Yarrowia lipolytica: one gene and its partner. The protein of the gene in region 1 interacts with the protein of each later gene in a biochemical or structural test. Links are inferred from orthologs where the notes say so. Each region holds a gene or a part of one and is shown on either strand. Other genes may lie near its edges.

Evidence for each region. The genes of interacting proteins can lie anywhere in the genome.
Region 2: of the proteins of YALI1_E07818g (region 1) and YALI1_E22207g, one has a biochemical effect on the other in vitro, tested with the Saccharomyces cerevisiae proteins (2 studies listed by BioGRID, with this or other methods). The link is inferred for Yarrowia lipolytica from reciprocal best matches to the Saccharomyces cerevisiae genes HSL1 and HSL7.

Annotation. Positions count from the first base shown.
Region 1 is NC_090774.1:777,919-788,331, forward strand, and holds YALI1_E07818g (uncharacterized protein), read left to right. Parts: upstream 1-3,901; coding exon 3,902-4,404; intron 4,405-5,270; coding exon 5,271-8,436; downstream 8,437-10,413. Other genes in the region: YALI1_E07790g (uncharacterized protein), read right to left, coding at 1-1,138, 1,674-1,689; YALI1_E07874g (uncharacterized protein), read right to left, coding at 9,059-9,550; YALI1_E07899g (uncharacterized protein), read right to left, coding at 9,897-10,413.
Region 2 is NC_090774.1:2,215,507-2,223,506, reverse strand, and holds YALI1_E22207g (uncharacterized protein), read left to right. Parts: upstream 1-2,735; coding exon 2,736-5,180; downstream 5,181-8,000. Other genes in the region: YALI1_E22238g (uncharacterized protein), read left to right, coding at 1-915; YALI1_E22218g (uncharacterized protein), read right to left, coding at 1,283-1,684; YALI1_E22159g (uncharacterized protein), read left to right, coding at 7,633-8,000.

The sequences.
Region 1 (10,413 bases):
ACAAAAGCCAGTACAAGGTAGAGCTTGTCGGGGTTTTGAAACGAGAACTTGAGCGGCACAATGAACGGGTTATCAATCTGGGCCAGTACCGTTCGCTCCGCGAGCGTATGTGTGACTTCGGACCGCGACACGATTCGCGCTTTTCTAATCGTCTTTATCGCGTAAATCTGTTGCGTGTCCTTCTTGCGCACCTGCATCACCTTGCCAAACGAGCCCTTACCGATCACCTTGAGCAGCTCAAAGTCCTTCATGGACAGGGGCTCGTTACGTGTAGGCTTGTAATCCAGCTTGAGGTGGATTTTTCCTGTACCAGACGACAGAGCCTGATATCCGTCGAACGAAGACGCGGGGGTGAAGTTGGGGGTCAGTTTCACCGAGCCAAGGAAGATATCAATGTACTTAGGCGTGGCAGACGATCTCTTGGAGGACGAGTTTACGCTGCTCATGCTGCCGTTGCCCCCAATACTGCTACTGAGTCCCAGTCCCTCCATCTCACTGGGCTTGACCAGTCCGGCGCTCAGCTTGGCGTACAGGTTGATGCTCAGGGGCTCCGGACGCGACACGTCGAACGACGACTGGGCCTTCCAGATGGGGTTCTCCAGCGTTCCTCCTGTGGCCTCCAGCACCAGCTGCGTCTTGTCAAACTCCAACACCAGGTACACTGGGGGAGGAGTCATTCGTCGGGCAGAAGACATTGTGTTGGAATCCTTAACCAGCTGTTTTTCAGGTGCAAACAGGCTCGCATACTTGGCATAGCTGGGAGGCAGCGACAAGCCCTTGGTTTCGACAATGTTGACTGTCAACAGGCCGGGCTTGAAGGAGTGTGACAGGTGAGGGGCCGGAGGAGCAGCAGGAGTGGCACACGAAGTGGAGGTGGCGGAAGAGGCAGTGTCTCGTGAGTCTCGTGAGTCTCGTGGGGTGTAACTGTGTGTGGACTCTCGCGACCACTCTCCGCTGGGTGCCTTGCTGCTGGTGGAGCTTGTGGGGGTCAGCTTCTCATATCCGCCAGGAGCGTTGGTGGACACGGACGGTAAGCTGAGGGTGTCTCGTTTGGTGTTAGTGGGCGACTCCTTTATGGTGGCCGTGGAGTTAGACGACGGCCTTGAGGAGAAGGCTGACAGGTGGCCTTCTTTGATTTCTGTGTTAGTAAGTCTGCTTTGTAAGGCCCCGATAAGAAATGCTGTTAACCCCTAAATTGCGCCGTGCGTGAAGTACTGCCAAGACACGCAGCCCCGGATCGTGGGCAAGAGGGATATGAGAGGGGTGTGGTTGCGTGCTCGTTGTATTATATCGCAACACTGTTGACGCAGTGTGTGCAGATTCTCGTGTGACTTGACAACTTGGGTGTCATTGGCTGTACAAATCAACTCCACAAGTTGAAACACACCACGACATCGCCGTGAGCAACGGTAACGGACGACAGCCTCGGCAAACAACTGAGACAGCAGCGACAATAGCAGCAGCACGACCAGCGTCGTTCCTGCGACCTTTCTGTCCGTTCTCATCTCTCCCACCACATTTTCTTGTCACAACCAATATCACCACGGCCATGCCCGTGTATCCCCACACCCCCTGATCCAGTCACTGTGGGGAGACAATACCGGGCCCAAAATAGCCGCCGAGAACACGTCACGTCTGCCATGACCATTCCGGCCGCGTCCGCAAACACTCACTTTTCCACGTAGACATTGTGGGTCGTGTATGGTTGTCTATCAGGTGTTGATGAGCTAGTTTAGTCCACGTTTAACTACAAGTAACGTGTTGCAGAGTCAGCTGCGGAACCATGCTGCAGCAACACCGCCGGGAATACTCTCACACGCAACACAACGTGTCAGCTGCCGCAGGGGGGCTGCATCACCCCCCAAAAAAAGACATAGCCTCCGCCATGAGTAATGCCTCACCATGATTTATGCCACCGGTATAAATAGCCCGGCTGTCGCCCATGGTTAATGGAGCTGTCCACGTGAACCCCCTGCGGGATAAACGCAGTCACGTGATGTGCCGCAGAGTCTCTTCCCAGCGCATTACGTCATTTCCGGGAAAGTGCGCTACCAGTGCTACCGAATGTCGCCCTATGGAGGGCTTGGGTGGCTACTTATCTTTCTGTCCACTACTCGTCGTGTGGCGGAGACCCATTTATATATGATAAGAGCGATAAATGGCTACTTGTAGTCAAGGAAGCTCCGATATTGGCTTGGCAGGCGGGAAATTACGTCGAATTAGCTGCGATACAGTTTTTACGATACAAGTGTACAGCTACGAGGAGCTACTGTTGAACTGCTCCCCACTGCAGATTATTATTATTAACCATGCTGTCTATCAGAGATCGGCACTGAGATGAATGTTCAGGCGCTCTTTCACGTGTATCCAGAGTATACGAGCTGAATCACTCTTCAGAAGGTGTTGAATTGTTGTTGTACAGTATGTACATACGTACTTGTATCAGTAGTAACTGTCTTGTACTCTTACCGTAATCGTACTGTATCGTATTCAGTAGTGGTGGGTTCTTGTGCAGAAGTCACTACTCGTAGTCGACTTCACCATTGTTGTGTCGCATACAAATTCACGTTCCCACTCCAGCTCAGAGGATAATGACGCATTCCGCTACTGGCTGGTGGTTGCACCGGATTGGCTCCACTCGTACCTTTGTTCTGGCACCAAACACGGCTATTTTGGGTCAACTTTGAGCGTTTCGAGAGCTGTCATTGCCATTGTCCCGTCAGTGTGGCCCACAGTAAAAGGTGTATTTTTAGGGCATGTTTTTATACATACTAATTCGGCCCACCATGTACAAGTATACATCAAAACAGAAGAGATGGGGATGACACGGTCGAATAATAAAACGCGGAAATGAATGTACAAGTACAAGTACAAGTGCAAATTTCCCAACAAGGCCAGTTCTTCTGTGTATCAACACATTATATCCTGACAACCACCCAATATACCACCGCTCCGTCTCCGTTTCCCTCCACTTGTACTTGTACCTCCAACCCAAGATTCCACTGCACCCTTGCATCTGGTCAAATTCATGTTACAGTATGTAACGTGTAAGACCACTCCTACAATAATCCTACAATAATTGGCTACTTGTAGCTGATATTATTACGGCTGTAAAATGCAAATACCCTGTGCAAATACAGTCAACTAACCGCTCGACACCTCGACTGTACCACGTGGACAACATTCAAAGTGTATCACTCAAGCCGTACAACTGTGAATATATCCCACAATGGTCTCCATGACAACCATTGTGGACATCACGTGACCGGCGACAAGGTTGCAGATCTCCGTCTTGCTGCTTGTGGGTAAGGGTTTCAGCACAAAAATGACCCTTGACTCGCGTGTCGCGTATCCCAAAACGGCTTGGAATGTGAGCCATCAGATTAGGCCATGATGAGGCTCTTTTCGGTACTGTAGAGTTGAGCTAAAGTGACGGAAAAGCAATATTTGGGCCTTGAATAATTCGCCAACAAATGTCATGAACCGTCCAATTCGTCCACGGCCCGAAAATCCACATTTTTCTCTACATATTTCCCTCAATCCACATGTATTGTTTGTTAGGATGCTCAGCCGCGCATCAACTTTGTTTGTGCATTCTTCGCGTGTGGAATGTGGTTGTGGGGGTTGATGGGGTGGTGATGAAATAGAGAAATATATATGAAAAAAAAGAGAAAAATGCCGTTCGAATTATCCGTGTTTTTTCGGATTTTTTTGCTCTCAGTTGTAAGCCACAATACCACCATTTTTCAACCCACATCATTCCAAAGAAACTCTACAATGGGCAAACTCTTGCAAACAATGCACCATGCAGGCCGAGTGTATCGTTGGTGCTACACCTTCGTGGAGATAGATTGTTGGTTTCTGACACAGTCGTTCCTCTACCACCGACACACAAGCGACAATGCACAACCCAGCAGCTGTTGCAGCAGCCTCGCGGGCATACCCCACCGACCCCATGGTGCAACAAATACAGCAACAGTATGAGGCCCAGCAGAACTACAACTACAACGCTCAGGCACAAAACACACAGAACACACAGAACACACAGACACAGACACCGGGCCAGACAACCACAGACCCCACGACAAAACGGTTGTCCCAGACATCGACGTCGTCCAACAAGAAGACAAAAACGCACATTGGTCCTTGGCGACTGGGCCGAACCCTTGGACGAGGCTCCTCGGGACGTGTCCGACTAGCACGACACTCGCACACCGGCCAGCTTGCGGCCGTGAAGATTGTACCCAAGGCAGTGGTGGCCGACGCCGTCAATGCGGCCAACGGAGAGGAGCATGGCGCCACGGGGCTACCTTACGGTATTGAGCGGGAGGTGATCATCATGAAATTGATTGAACATGCCAATGTGATGGCACTGTACGATGTGTGGGAGAACAAGGGAGAATTGTGAGTATTGAAGAAGCGTGAAAATTACCTATTGGTGTGGAGTGTATGGTGGTGAAATCACAGGGTGGGTGGTGATGTTGTGGAACAACGAGACTATTTTGACGCGTTTTGATGGTGAGGCGAGCTTTTGGTACACTGAGAGGTGTTTTAGAGACATCAAAGATGACAAGTAAGGTGTTACAGCCGAAGTATATCTCCTACAGCTCTCAGTCGTCTCTCTAATTTGACTAAACGCGTCTCCACACTGTCACATGGCTCAGATAGTCCCAGACGCAGTTCCTGGACTGGCACATGACTTTCAAGTCCGTCTTTCCCTTCAATCACTCATTGACATACCCCCCTTTAATAGTCAGATGAATGCCCCGAACGGTACATTTACAGGGCACTGGGCGTGGTTCACACAAGCACGGTACACTGAGCACATCAGGACACTAAGAGACTCAGCAATTCGAGAAAGACGCATGCTTGTGGATCTTTGATTTAACTCTGTAAGCCTCCAACTAGTTTTGGTGCTTCTATGGCATATATCAATGTTCTCTTCACTCGCTTGTTGTGTTTGTTTACCGCTTGCCATTTCGTGGTTTATTATTCGGGACATACAGCCTTATCTTTGCGGAGACCAGTGTTTGAAGCTGTATCTCATTTCCTATTTTATTTCTGAGTCTCCAACCACCACCACCACCACCACACCGCTCCCAGGCAGTGCTACACTGTACATGCTGTATACGCTGCATCCCTGTGTCCATGCAGGCCAACTATACACAGCGTGGATGTGCGCGACGTATACTCAACATGGAATTGTCGCAGCGGTCGCTTGAGGCCCGTTACCAGGACAACGGCCAACCATTATACCCATACTAACCCAGATATCTCGTTTTGGAATACATTGAGGGCGGCGAGCTGTTTGATTACCTCATCAAAAAGGGCCGCCTGGAGGAATATGAGGCCGCCTCGTACTTTTTGCAAATCATCAATGGAGTCGACTACTGCCACAGATTCAACATTTGCCACCGAGATCTCAAGCCCGAGAACCTGCTGCTAGACAAGAACCGCAACATCAAGATTGCCGACTTTGGAATGGCCGCTCTGGAGACAGACCGGATGCTGGAAACCAGTTGTGGATCGCCTCACTACGCCTCTCCCGAAATTGTCGCCGGTAAGACATATCACGGAGCCCCCTCGGATATCTGGTCGTGCGGTATCATTCTTTTCGCGCTTCTGACCGGTCATCTGCCTTTTGACGATGACAACATTCGAAGATTGCTGCTCAAGGTGCAGACCGGCAAGTTCAATATGCCGTCAGAGCTGAGTCCATACGCCAAGGATCTCATTTGGCGAATGCTACGAACAGATCCTACCACTCGAATCACCATGGACGAGATCTTCCAGCATCCCTTCGTGCGCAAGTACAGCGGAGGTGTGACACCCACTCACATCCATGCTCCTTCTTACGAGCATGTGGCCCGTCCTGTGGCTTCGGTGCAGGACATTGATATAGAGATTCTCAAGAACCTACAGATTCTGTGGCACGGCGAAGACGCCGAGATCATCATGCAGAAGCTGCTGTCTCCCGATGCTAACCCGGAGAAGACCTTTTACTGTCTGCTGATGAAGTACCGACATGATCATGCTGCCGCTGTGGCTGCCACTGCTCCTCCCACGTTGCAACAGCAACAGAGCCAGGAGATGCAGCCTGCCATGCACAAGTCCCATAGCCACTCGTCTCGCAAGCAACACAAGCGCAAGACAAGCCACAACAGCCATCGACTTGGCTCTCGGGGTTCGCTGGTGTCTGTTTCTTCGGCCCACAAGCGAGGTGTTTCTTTCACCCATGTCAAGAAGCGATCTCAGCAGAGCATCCGAAGCATGCGAGGAAGTGCCAGCAACTCCGTCGTCGCTTCTCCTAGAAAACAGACTGCCTCCGCACCTGTTTCGGCTGGTACTGCACCCATTCCTTTCAACGTCAACGTTCCTTACACAGAGGCACCTGCTACTGCACCCGCAGCTCCTACAACCGCAGCCGCTACATCCACAGCCACTAGAGCACCAGCACAGCCACTGGCACCAACACAAGCGGTTCAGTCACCACCACGACAATCACAGCCTGTCCATCAACAGCCGCCAACATCACGACGGGCTCCCATCTCGTCAGCTCCCTCGTGGCTTACACGGTCGCCTCCTGCCAGCAAGGATGCCGACTTTGAAGCCTTCCTTGACTCTGCCTTCAACAAGCCCGTCAAGACGAAGAAGAGCTACGGCAGTCTGCTTGGTTCTCCCGTTGACGCTCGACGCCATGTGACTGACCCTGCTAACACGTCCATCGCCTCTCGAACCGCAGCTGGCGCAACCGCTGCGAACACATCCAAGCGAGCAGTAACCATGGCATACAACGATGAGTTTGAGTTCGAACGGCCCATGTCATTGTTTGATCCTCGAGAGGTAGGAGGAGACACTGGCCGTGCCCAGCAGCCCAGCGTATCTCGCGCTCAAACCATTTCTCACACTCACACCCACTCGCGAGAGCGTGTGGCCAACGCTCATTCTGATACCCCCAACTACCTGCCCATGATTTTCGAGGAGGGCGACCGGTTCGCAGATGCCATCGAGGAGGAGTTCCATCTCAACATTTCCGACAACACTCTTTCTGCCCCCTCCACGAACCACACAACTCCTATGCTTGGGGGCGATCGAAAGTCGAGTGAGTGGGAGAACCTGTTTGATTTCACTGAGCGAGGGGACCAGGTTGTTGTGGGCGAGGACTCTCTGCTGGACATTTCTTTCCACCGAGACAATGCCAATGAGGCCACTCCTGTGGCTCCTGCTGCTACCCATGTTGGTCGGGAGTCCACAGAGCTTTACAAGGATCTTCAATTCCCCGAAATCCCTGTTGTGGACCGAGATGAGACTGCCGTGGAGTCTATGCCTCGAACCCAGTCCAAGATGAAGATCTCGGGCCAGATGCAGACAGACAACTTCATGAAGCGACCTTCGTCCATCAACCTCAACGGTCATCTCAGCCAGAGCAACCTATCGCGACAGACGACTTCTGCTTCCCAGCGACGTCCTCTCGTGTCTCGTGATATGAATACCCATGCTGCTTCCCCTCGAGAGGCCGCCAAGCCTGTTAGACAGTTGCAGGCAGCTGCTGAACTGCACGAACGACGACCTGTTGAGGTTCTACAGAAACAGCAACCGCAACAGCAGCAGCAGCATCATCATCAGCAGCAGCAGCAGACTCAGCATCAGTTGCAGCCCGCACCTGTCTTCCGAGAGAAGCCTGTGGTGTCTGCTCCACGACGGCCTGCACCTGCTCCCCCCGTGCAGAGTGTGGCCGACACCATGGTTCTTCCTATGCACCAGCAGCAGCAGAACAACTCGCAGTTTACCATTCCTGCTCCTGTGCAGACTCAGCCACCCCAGTCAAAGTCCAGCCGAACGAAGTCATTCATCCGACGGTTTGGATTTGCACCCAAGCGTGAGGCTCCAGTTGCTCCCACTTCTAAGGTGACCATGATCCAATCTAGCGACTATGGTGCTGCTCCTGGTGTGAATGCCAACGCCCACATGAATGCACAGAAAGATCCAGCTGCACCTGCAGCTCATGCAGCAGCTCATGCAGCTCACACGTCCGGTACTGCTCCTGCTACTGGCGACCCTTGGAACGTCACTCAATCGTGGTTCATGAAGATGTTCTCGCGACCCAACGTCGCCCCCCGGCAACCTCCTCAAACCCTCTACTCCACTCTCACCAGCCAGCAGCTGGAAGACGAGATTGTGGCTCTGCTTGCATCGTGGCGCAAGTATGGTATTTCCAATCTGTCTGTGTCACACTCTTCCATTAAGTGTCAGATCAGCTCGCGAAATGCTCTGAAAATCAAATCGGCAAAATTGCATATCGACATTGGTCCCCTCAAACACACCAATAGTTTTGCTCACTTTTTCCACGATCGAGGCTCGCAGGGCTCGTTTACTCAGCTCTATGACCAGATCAAGGCGCACCTTGTTTCTCAAGGTCTGCTCATTAATAACTAAACGTAACTAATATAGCTAATTAATTTTATTTAATGAATGATAATATAATAATATAATGATGACGTGTATGTGTACGGTACATTGTACTTGTAGGAGTAGCAGTACTGACCTCTTCTTGACTGGCATAGCACAAATCTGCTCCTTGTTGATAGAACGGCACATGAGAAAGAAGCATACAGTGTGTACTACAAATTGTATTTGTCATTAAGTACGATATATATAAGAAATGACGGCATATTCAGGAATGATTCTATAAAACAAATATGCTCTGTGATGCTGGTTTGTTCATGCCGCCTTCCGTGTTGGATACAATCAAACTACCATGCACGGTAATGTCTTGAAAGACTGCCCCATGTCCGTAATAGCCAATACTGTAGCATGATTCGAGTGTAACAGCAGGGGAAGAGTTAACACAAGGACTTTGAAGGCTCACTTCTGAGATATCCAGTCCACGAGCATGGAAGGACTGTTCTGCGTAGACCCTCGGTAGCCGACATATACTGTAAGCATCTGCGCCTTGTTGTGCTTGCCAGTCCATGGCCTGTCTCAAAGCTTGGTCGAAAAGTCACTGATGCTGGCACTCAGGTCACTCCGCTAATTTTGTGTCGGTGTCCTTCTTTCATTACTCCTCCTCAACACCGTACTGCACAGTGATCCACAAACTGCAGGTTCCACATTGCACGACAATCTCGTGAAACTGGACATCGACACCCTCGTAGTACTTTTCGTTATTCTCCAAATGTTCTTCGGTCAAAACGTAGCCTCCTGCCTCTCCACATCGACATGGCTTGTACCATGAAAACATGCCATCTGCGTCTTCCCTCTCCTCCAATTCTGTCAAATCAAACACGTCACTACCAGGGCCGCTTTTAACGCCATTTGCGCCATTCTTCAGACTCAAATCATACTCCTTTTTTAGCTTGGAGTTGCTCAAACATGCGTAGGCTGTCGTGATGGCTGTGATCTGAACAGATCCAGTATATGCCTCTCTCTCCTGGAGCTTGTCGGGGTGGTTTTTCAGCAATGCCTGTTTGTATGCAGTTTTGAGATCCGCTGAAGTCAGCTCAGGCACGTGAGGAGGCTCAGATAGTCCCAATATAGTGTAGTGGTTCATGGTGAATAATTTGATGTGTGGAGAAAAAAAAATTTGAGTTCAGAGGAGTCAACGAAGTGCAGCTGTGGTGTATGTCTACTAACCTCCATGCAAAAGTGAGCATCTGAGCATCCAAGTATTGGTCAATTCCTTACTTATACTTACTACTGTACTCCTACTGTACAATACATATCATTTGATTAACTGTCCATTCGAAATGACCCATCGCACTATGAGTGCTTGTAGTGCAGTAGAAGCAGTTGTTGTGTCTACGATGCTAACTACCAAGTAACATACACTAAACGTCTGCTAGTTCATACGACATAAATAAAACAGTTCATTAGTAACAATATATCCTTCAATCCATCTACTCATCCTCAAGAGAGCAAATTTCCTCATCCTCGTCCTTTCGGAACAGGAAGGGTCTAATGACAGACTCGTAATAAGGAGGTCGAGGGTCTTGGGGAGGGTTCTGAGTGTTGACCACCTTGAAGTAGTTCTTGTAGACATCTCCGTCAGCTCGTCCAATGGCAGAGTTGAGGAAAAAATCAGGCACGTTGAAGGCATCGGTGTAGCCAATGACGTCCTTTCGCACCTCCAAGAGCTGCTTTCGGATCTCGGCACTGATGTACTTGAGCTCCTGGGGAGTGATGTAGCCCTCTCGGAGGAAGATTCCAGCCTCCTCTTCGACGGACCAGAAGGCGTACAGGTTGGCAAGTCTGGTAAGAGGCTCCTTGGTGAACTCGGTGCCCTCCTCGGCAATTCGCTCGTAGAAGTTCTTGACCATGTACAGACGGGTGTGGATTCGAGTACACAGGAATCGTTGCTGGGACAGCTCCTCGTAGGCCTGGGCAGTAGACAGACCCTTCTTGGCCAGCACCTCA
Region 2 (8,000 bases), about 1.4 Mb from region 1:
CTCAACCGACAGTGCTCCTCTGGTCTGATGGCCGTCAACGACGTTGCCAACAAGATCCGAGCCGGCCAGATTGACATTGGTATCGGCTGTGGTGTCGAGTCCATGTCCAACCAGTACGGTCCCAACTCCGTCACCCCCTTCTCCAACAAGTTCCAGAACAACGAGGAGGCTAAGAAGTGCCTGATCCCCATGGGTATCACTTCCGAGAACGTTGCCGCCAAGTACAACGTGTCCCGAAAGGCCCAGGACGCCTTTGCTGCCAAGTCCTACGAGAAGGCCGCCGCTGCCCAGGCCGCCGGCAAGTTCGACCAGGAGATCCTCCCCATCAAGACCACTGTTCTCGATGATGATGACAACGAGAAGGAGGTTACCGTCAACAAGGACGACGGTATCCGACCTGGTGTCACCGCCGAGAAGCTCGGCAAGCTCAAGCCTGCTTTCTCCGCCGAGGGAACCACCCACGCTGGTAACGCCTCTCAGATCTCCGACGGTGCCGGAGCCGTTCTCCTCATGCGACGATCTGTTGCCGAGAAGCTTGGCCAGCCCATCCTTGCCAAGTTTGTCCACTGCAAGACCGTCGGTGTTCCCCCCGAGCTCATGGGAATTGGCCCCGCTTACGCCATTCCTGCTGTCCTTGAGGACCTTGGTCTGACCGTCAACGACGTTGACGTTTTCGAGATCAACGAGGCTTTCGCTTCCCAGGCTCTGTTCTCCATCCAGCATTGTGGAATCGACGAGTCCAAGGTCAACCCCCGAGGTGGTGCCATTGCTATTGGCCACCCTCTGGGAGCCACCGGTGCTCGACAGTTTGCCACTCTGCTCTCCGAGCTTAAGGAGTCTGGCAAGAAGGTCGGTGTCACCTCCATGTGCATTGGTACCGGTATGGGTGCCGCTTCTCTGGTTGTTGCCGAGTAAATGTACATACAAGATTATTTATAGAAATGAATCGCGATCGAACAAAGAGTACGAGTGTACGAGTAGGGGATGATGATAAAAGTGGAAGAAGTTCCGCATCTTTGGATTTATCAACGTGTAGGACGATACTTCCTGTAAAAATGCAATGTCTTTACCATAGGTTCTGCTGTAGATACTTGTACAGTTGCAGACCAGTTGGAGTATAGAATGGTACACTTACCAAAAAGTGTTGATGGTTGTAACTACGATACGGGATCCCCGCTGATATGCCTAAGGAACAATCAAAGAGGAAGATATTAATTCAGAATGCTAGTATACAGTTAGGGATGGTGAGTGTTGGGTGATGCAGGGGAGGTTGTCGAGCGGTTCACTTGAGTGCGTCCCGCTGTTTCATCAAGTGCATTTCAAGAATCCCGTTGGCCATGTGCATTTTGACCTTTTGCGGGTCGATTTTGACCGTTGGCGGAAACCGCACCGTTCTCTGGAAGGAGCCGTTGTGTCGTTCTCCCACCATGAGACAGTCGGACAGATGTGCAAAGGGGTTGGTGTAGTGGCCACTGATGGTCAGGCTGTTGGAGTCTGCGTCGTAGGCGGTTTCCAGGTCCGCCGACCGCACCGCCGGCAGACTTGTCACCACAATGTACATGTTTCCCAGGTCGTAGATGTCGACTGGTGGCGCGAATGGGTCAGTATGGGAGTGTGGGAGAGGAGTAGCTGGTGGCGAGTGGGCCAGGTCTGTTTCGGCATAGTCGGGCATTACAAAGGACATGGGGAGGGCGACGGGAGGCTTTTTGAGGAGTTGAAGAAGAGCTGGGGAAGAAATCAAGTGTCAAGCTTGAAAAAATCGGCTTTTCCATCTCAATTAGTTGCCTACATCGAGCCCATCAGAGTTCATGCACATGCAATGACCTCACAAGACACTGGCATAATTATGGCAGGGCTAATTTTAGCACTCCTCTGACAAAGCCGATGGGCGATGATAAACGCTGTCCACCATCTCGTGATCTTGCGGTTCCACTCCAGGGTATGACCAATCACGGCTGTGTTGCCGTTTCAGTGGGTGGCGACAGGGTGGCAAAGTGACGGTGGCAGTGCTTCACGTGACCTGGTCATACAGAACCGATCGGCCTTTCCCGATGGGCGGATAAATTGTTCCGACGCTATGCCGTATCCGAGATTCGTCGACATTTGCTATGTTATTTTCTGCTCAATTTTGAGATCGACTTTTGGGTCTATTTCGTCGAGAAGATTCCAGAAGGTGGAGGGGCAGTGCAGATGCAGATGCAGTCTGCCATCTAGGGTGATTAGGAGTAGTATCCATGGTGGTGGTATCAGTATCAGGGCTTTAGATGTTGTTTCGCTGCCTATTTAATATCATTTTTGTCATTCGCCAGAGTTGATTGCAAGTTTTTTGAGTAATTTCGAGTAATTGTAAGTAAAATCCAAATAAAAATCCAAGTAAATTGCAAGTAATTTCGAGTAATTTTCGGGTAATTTTCTGGTGATTTTCGAGTAATTGTAAGTAAAATCCAAATATAAATCCAAAGTCATCAAGTAATAACGAGTAACAATAACAAACAAGGAAAATCCATAAAAATCCAAATAAAAATCCAAAGTCATCAAGTAATAACGAGTCACAACAAACAAGGAAAATCAAAGAAAAATCAAAGAAAAATCCACAAATAACCCCCAAAATACAACTACCTGTAACCCCCCAAATATCATTATTATTATCATTATAACCCCATCTGTTTACACAAATTGCACTAGTGCGGCAACCAAAATAAACTCCACCACCGCCTCACTAATATCAACTCTATATGATGACTAATCAACCCGGCCAAAGCCCAGATCCACTCTTTTTTCAGCCCCATCTTCGAAAACACGGTCCAAGCCACAACGGCCGTCTTGTATTCCCCCACAAACACGAACTTCACGCGTGCAAATCTCCATCCGGTGCCGATCATGCGGGGTCGTCTCCCGGGCAACCCTCTGGATGCACCTCACCACCTGTACAGGCTGCACTAAGATTTGAGTCCAAAATTCAGGGGCTTTTGAAAAGACAGTGTCCTATACTGCTTTTACACGCGCGATCTACGATGGAACGAAAAGCTAGCGCCGCCAGCAGTGTTTTTTCGACCGCCAGCAGAGGAGGAGGGGGGATGTCGTCGCCGGACGTGGCCCAGAGCGGCGGGTCTGGAGCCAGTGGAGCTGACACCACTCCTGATTCGGAGGCGCCTGATCAGCCCGAACCATGCTTCATTGGAATCAACATGCCCAGTGCCGACGGCCACTCGTCGCAGCTCATTGTCGACTGTGCGCTGGAGCAGGGCTACGACATGATCACCGCCACCATCACCAACACCCATTACCGAACCAAGGTGGAGCAGAGCATCACTGCCGGACAGCTGACTGTGCCTCCCCCGTCTCTGGACGATGTGACCATCATGCCGGGAGGCTCGCATGTACACTCGACGGTGGTTCTGGCCAGCGCATGGATCGAGCTGGACGCCAAAAACGAAGCCACCGCCGCAATGTCTCTCCAGGTGCTCAAGCATGAGCTGGCCTACGCCTCCTACTGTGGAGTGGCCTTTGCCATCATTCCGGGCCCCAAGAGCCGCAAAAACGTGGCCACCTACGCCCATGCCGTCGCAGCCGCCCTCAGACACTCTCCCTGCATCCAGGTGGCCATTCATCTGCCATTTGCCGAGGCTGACGCAACCCAGAGTAGCCCCCATCTAGGCGGACATGCTCGAAAACCGTCGCAGATGTCAGATCCACTATCCATATGGGAAGTCTGGCACTCAGTGCGCACCATGGCCGGCTATCCGTCATCCTTATCGGTGGCTCTACAGCTCCCCAGAGCTCTACCTCCGCTACACGTGATAGATAGATGGATGGCAGAACCCATCTCTTTCGTCTGCGTGTCAGCAGGCTCCTTTATTCCCAACCCCAAGGGCTACCCAGTGTTCAGTAAGTCGCTACAACAACTTTTGCTACGATGTCTCAAGCTCAAACCTCTGACTTTGCTCCAGGAAGACGCGATGGCAGCTGAAAAGTTCCGAGGAGGGGAACAGGCCTTTCTCATATACCTGAGATATATTTACGCGCGTCGACCGAGTCCGTCGGCACTCGAAAAGTTCTCAGACGGATACCACGACTTTCTGCAGGCGCCTCTGCAACCTCTCGCAGACAATCTCGAAAATGGCACATACGAGGCGTTTGAACAGGACCCAGTCAAATACACGCTGTACGAGGAGGCGATAGGGAAGGCCCTAGTACATCTTGTGCGAGAAAAGAAGAGCGCAACAGGCACTTTTATGGTTTGTGTGGCTGGTGCCGGAAGAGGTCCCCTGGTCGACCGTACTATTGCTGCTGCCACGACTACAAAGACGCAGGTGAAGATTGTAGCAGTGGAGAAGAACCCTGCAGCCTATGTTCAGCTCATGCAACGCAACAACGACGTCTGGAACGCCCAGGGTCACCGTGTGGAAGTGATCATGTCCGACATGCGCACCTACGAAAGCCGGTCCGAGCAATTCTTTGACCTCATCATTTCGGAGCTTCTTGGCTCGTTTGGAGACAATGAACTCTCTCCCGAGTCCCTCGATCCCATCCAGAGACTCTTGCATCCCACCAGAGGCATAATGATCCCTCAGTCATACACTGCATTTGCTGCTCCAGCATTGTCTCCGAAACTGTACAACTCTGTGCTCTCTGGTGGTCCCACACCCGCCCAGGGCCCTCAACAGGGATCTGGAGGCACTACGAGTTCGCCCAATAACTCTTTCAATACCCCCTACGTGGTTATGCTCAAGCAGGTGGATATTTTGGCACAAGCCAAACCTCTGTGGTCGTTTGCACACCCCGGAAACCCTGCTGCGTTCAGCAAAGAAAATATCCACAATACGCGTTTCTCGAAGACATCGTTCGAGATCCCAGCCAAGGCATGTGTGCATGGAATTGCTGGCTACTTTGAGGCTGTTCTCTTCCAGGACGTGTCCCTGTCTACTGTTCCGCATACCAGACACAAGTCTCCAGACATGTTGTCGTGGTTCCCCATTTGGTTTCCGTTGAAGACTCCGATGAACGTGCCCGATCATTCTGAAGCTGACCTTTGCTTCTGGCGAAAGACCGACGGAAAGGTCGTGTGGTACGAGTGGGCGGCAGAGACGTTCTTCAAGCCGCTCCAGAGCGGCCCTCGAATGCGACTGTCATGCTCTGAGATACATAATGTGGGGAGGGAGAGTGTCATGAGACTGTAGACAGATGCTGACCGCGTAGCTGGAGGTGTCTGTCTTTCGGGTACACTTGTAGTCTCGCCCGATAGTATGTGCGTATCTTCAACGTGCTGAGAAAGCGACATAACAGAATGCATTGATGAATCATGAAGGATGAGTGATCCGAAGTCAGCGATGACTCGGATTTAGATGACGTGACATACACAACTGACACTAAGTAGAGGCGAATACGACAGTGACTGGAGCAGGTTGTCTCTGTCTACTGTGGCAAGTTCCGAGATCCTCACTGGCTACGATGGTACCTCGAACAGGTCACCTGTCGCCGAAAAACTATGGGACACGTCGCCGAAACTATGGACACTTGTCGCCGAAAACTATGGACACTGGTCGCCGAAACTACGGCCATTTTCTCTTTCTCTCTATATATTTAGTTGTCGTATCTTTAGAGTGAATGGATTGAAAACTACAGTGCGGATGAAGAGGCAACCGGCCGCGACCCGAAGGCTCTTGTAGGAATTTCTGTGACTCTAGATGACCCTGCGACCGTCCATATCGCCACAAGAGCTTTTTGAACAGAGCCTGTTAATGACCATACTTCCATAGTCCAGATACTGACTGGTATGGGTCTGCCGGCAGACATTGTCGCATCCGAAGAGCCGAGAAGTGATGTTCGCCAGCAGGAAATGTCTTGTTTGGGAATAATGCTTTCAGGAGTATCCGCTCGAAGTTCCGACTCGACAACTGTGTAGCTGGCGACTCGGCACGTATTTCTCCACATGGTTCATCTTGCTCCTCCGGCTCTGGGGACTCTTGGTCTTCAGGTTGTCGGGCTTGTCTGAGTCGGCTGATACCCTGGCTCCCTCTATAGTCCAATGGTGCTGGCTGTCAGTGTCGCAACGGTTCTTAGTTTCGTACTTGTCTTACAAGTAGTAGTTTCTGCGATGGAATCGCTCTTTGCAGTCCTACAAAAGTATGTAAGAGTACTCTGGCCAAAAACGAGTACTGACAGCTGCTCATCAATGGATTGGTATCATTTGACTGTCCTTGACAAGAAGATTCACAGTATCAACGCACGATTCACGGTATCCAAGACAATTCCAACAGATCAGTCATGTTATGCACAAGTACCACTAGTAGACATCTACCTTTGAGTCTTGGCCAATAAACTGAAGAAAGCAGTTATTCAACTCGTCATACCATTGCCGTAACACCTCAACGATCAGAGCCAGCTATCCCTCTTGACCATGCGGTAGGTCTGAACGGAGAAGACGTTGAGAAGTCCTTTGCTGCTCGTCCATGGGGATGAATGGTGCTGGCCATCGTCAGAGTTCAAGATAAAAAGGCGAGGACACACCCTGTCGGTATCTGATGGTAAGTTGGGACGTCAGATCCATATCTTTTTGCCGAAAGGTGCAACTGCGACTGGCCCGACACGTTGGCGGACATCTCTTTTGTTGCAACTAGCGGTGTATGTAGAAACGGAATTACTAAAAGTTGGAGTCATACCAGGGTGAGTTGAAAAGGCTCCAACTTTTGGAAATCCCGTTTCTTCAAAATTGACCTATACCTGAAGGTATCTCCAGTTGGTTAGATGCGTCGGTCGCATACTTGGATATACGCCGATGTGCTTCACAGCCCACACTCCCTGCGATGGCTTCTCACGAGTCCTGAAGCACAGTCAGAAGAACTTGCAGCTACTCTGGCTTGTGGCTGTCAAGATTGGTTGTAGGTGCGTCCAGAGATTCCAAACCACTCAGCCAGCGCAAGTCGCAGCCAGTACCCTCTGATCAGCCTCACAACGCTCTCCCATGTCCAGTTCCGCGTCTCTCCTGATATACGACCTGTTTTTCGCCGCTCCAGGCCAGTCCTCGTCTGATCGATTCGAATTGTGTCGATATCTGTTCCAGAATAACAGAAGATCAGCGTGACCCATAACATGACAGTCAGTCTGGATGACCAACTCAGGGGGCCACAAGTTGTTATCCGACATGTCATTCGACATCTCAGTCAACAGCCAACAACCGCCGGCCTCTGCTCATCGTACTAATACCGTAGTATGTACTGGTATTGTGCGAGTACAAGGCTTGCAAGAAATTAATGATGGACTCAGTGTTGGTTCGGAGAGAGTCACGTGACTCCCATTTGCATTTCCACTCGATGACTAATCTGAATGACCGACGACCGCGACGGTTCCCACTGAGTCCTCATCACCATCCTGAGATGAGGGATCCTTTTATTTATTTATTTTTCTCGCATTTTCCTCATTTTTCTCCTTTTGTTTTTGTTTTATTTTATTTTTATTCAATTCAATTCCAATTCAATTCAATTCTTAAATTCAATTCAATTCAATTCAATTTAATTTAATTTAATTTAATTTAATTTTAATTTAATTTTTTCCCCCATACGCGGTTGTCGATAACCGGTGGGGAAGCAGAGTTTAATTGTGCGGCCAAAATGTTTATAATAGGCTCTGGTGATGAGCAGGCTAATGTCTCGACTGACTATACGACCAGGCCACCGAATCGTTTATCGCCACCAAATCGTTTATCGCCACCAAATCGTTTCTCGACTCTTTTCCACACTTTCCGCTTCCATGTCACGACACCCTAGCCTCAAGGAGCTCGAGAAGGAGCGACCGGCATTCGTAGATCGACCGGGATTCACCTTCACAAACACGCCCAACACGGAGTGGCAGTTTGGAGATGGAGCCAACTCGCAGGATGACGGGTGGAAGAAACACAAAAAGGTGAGCTTCAGTCCCACGGCCGAGGGCCGGCCGCCCATGTTCAATTACAAGCTGCTGATTGGCGCCGTGACCCCCCGGCCCATTGCGTTTCTGTCCAC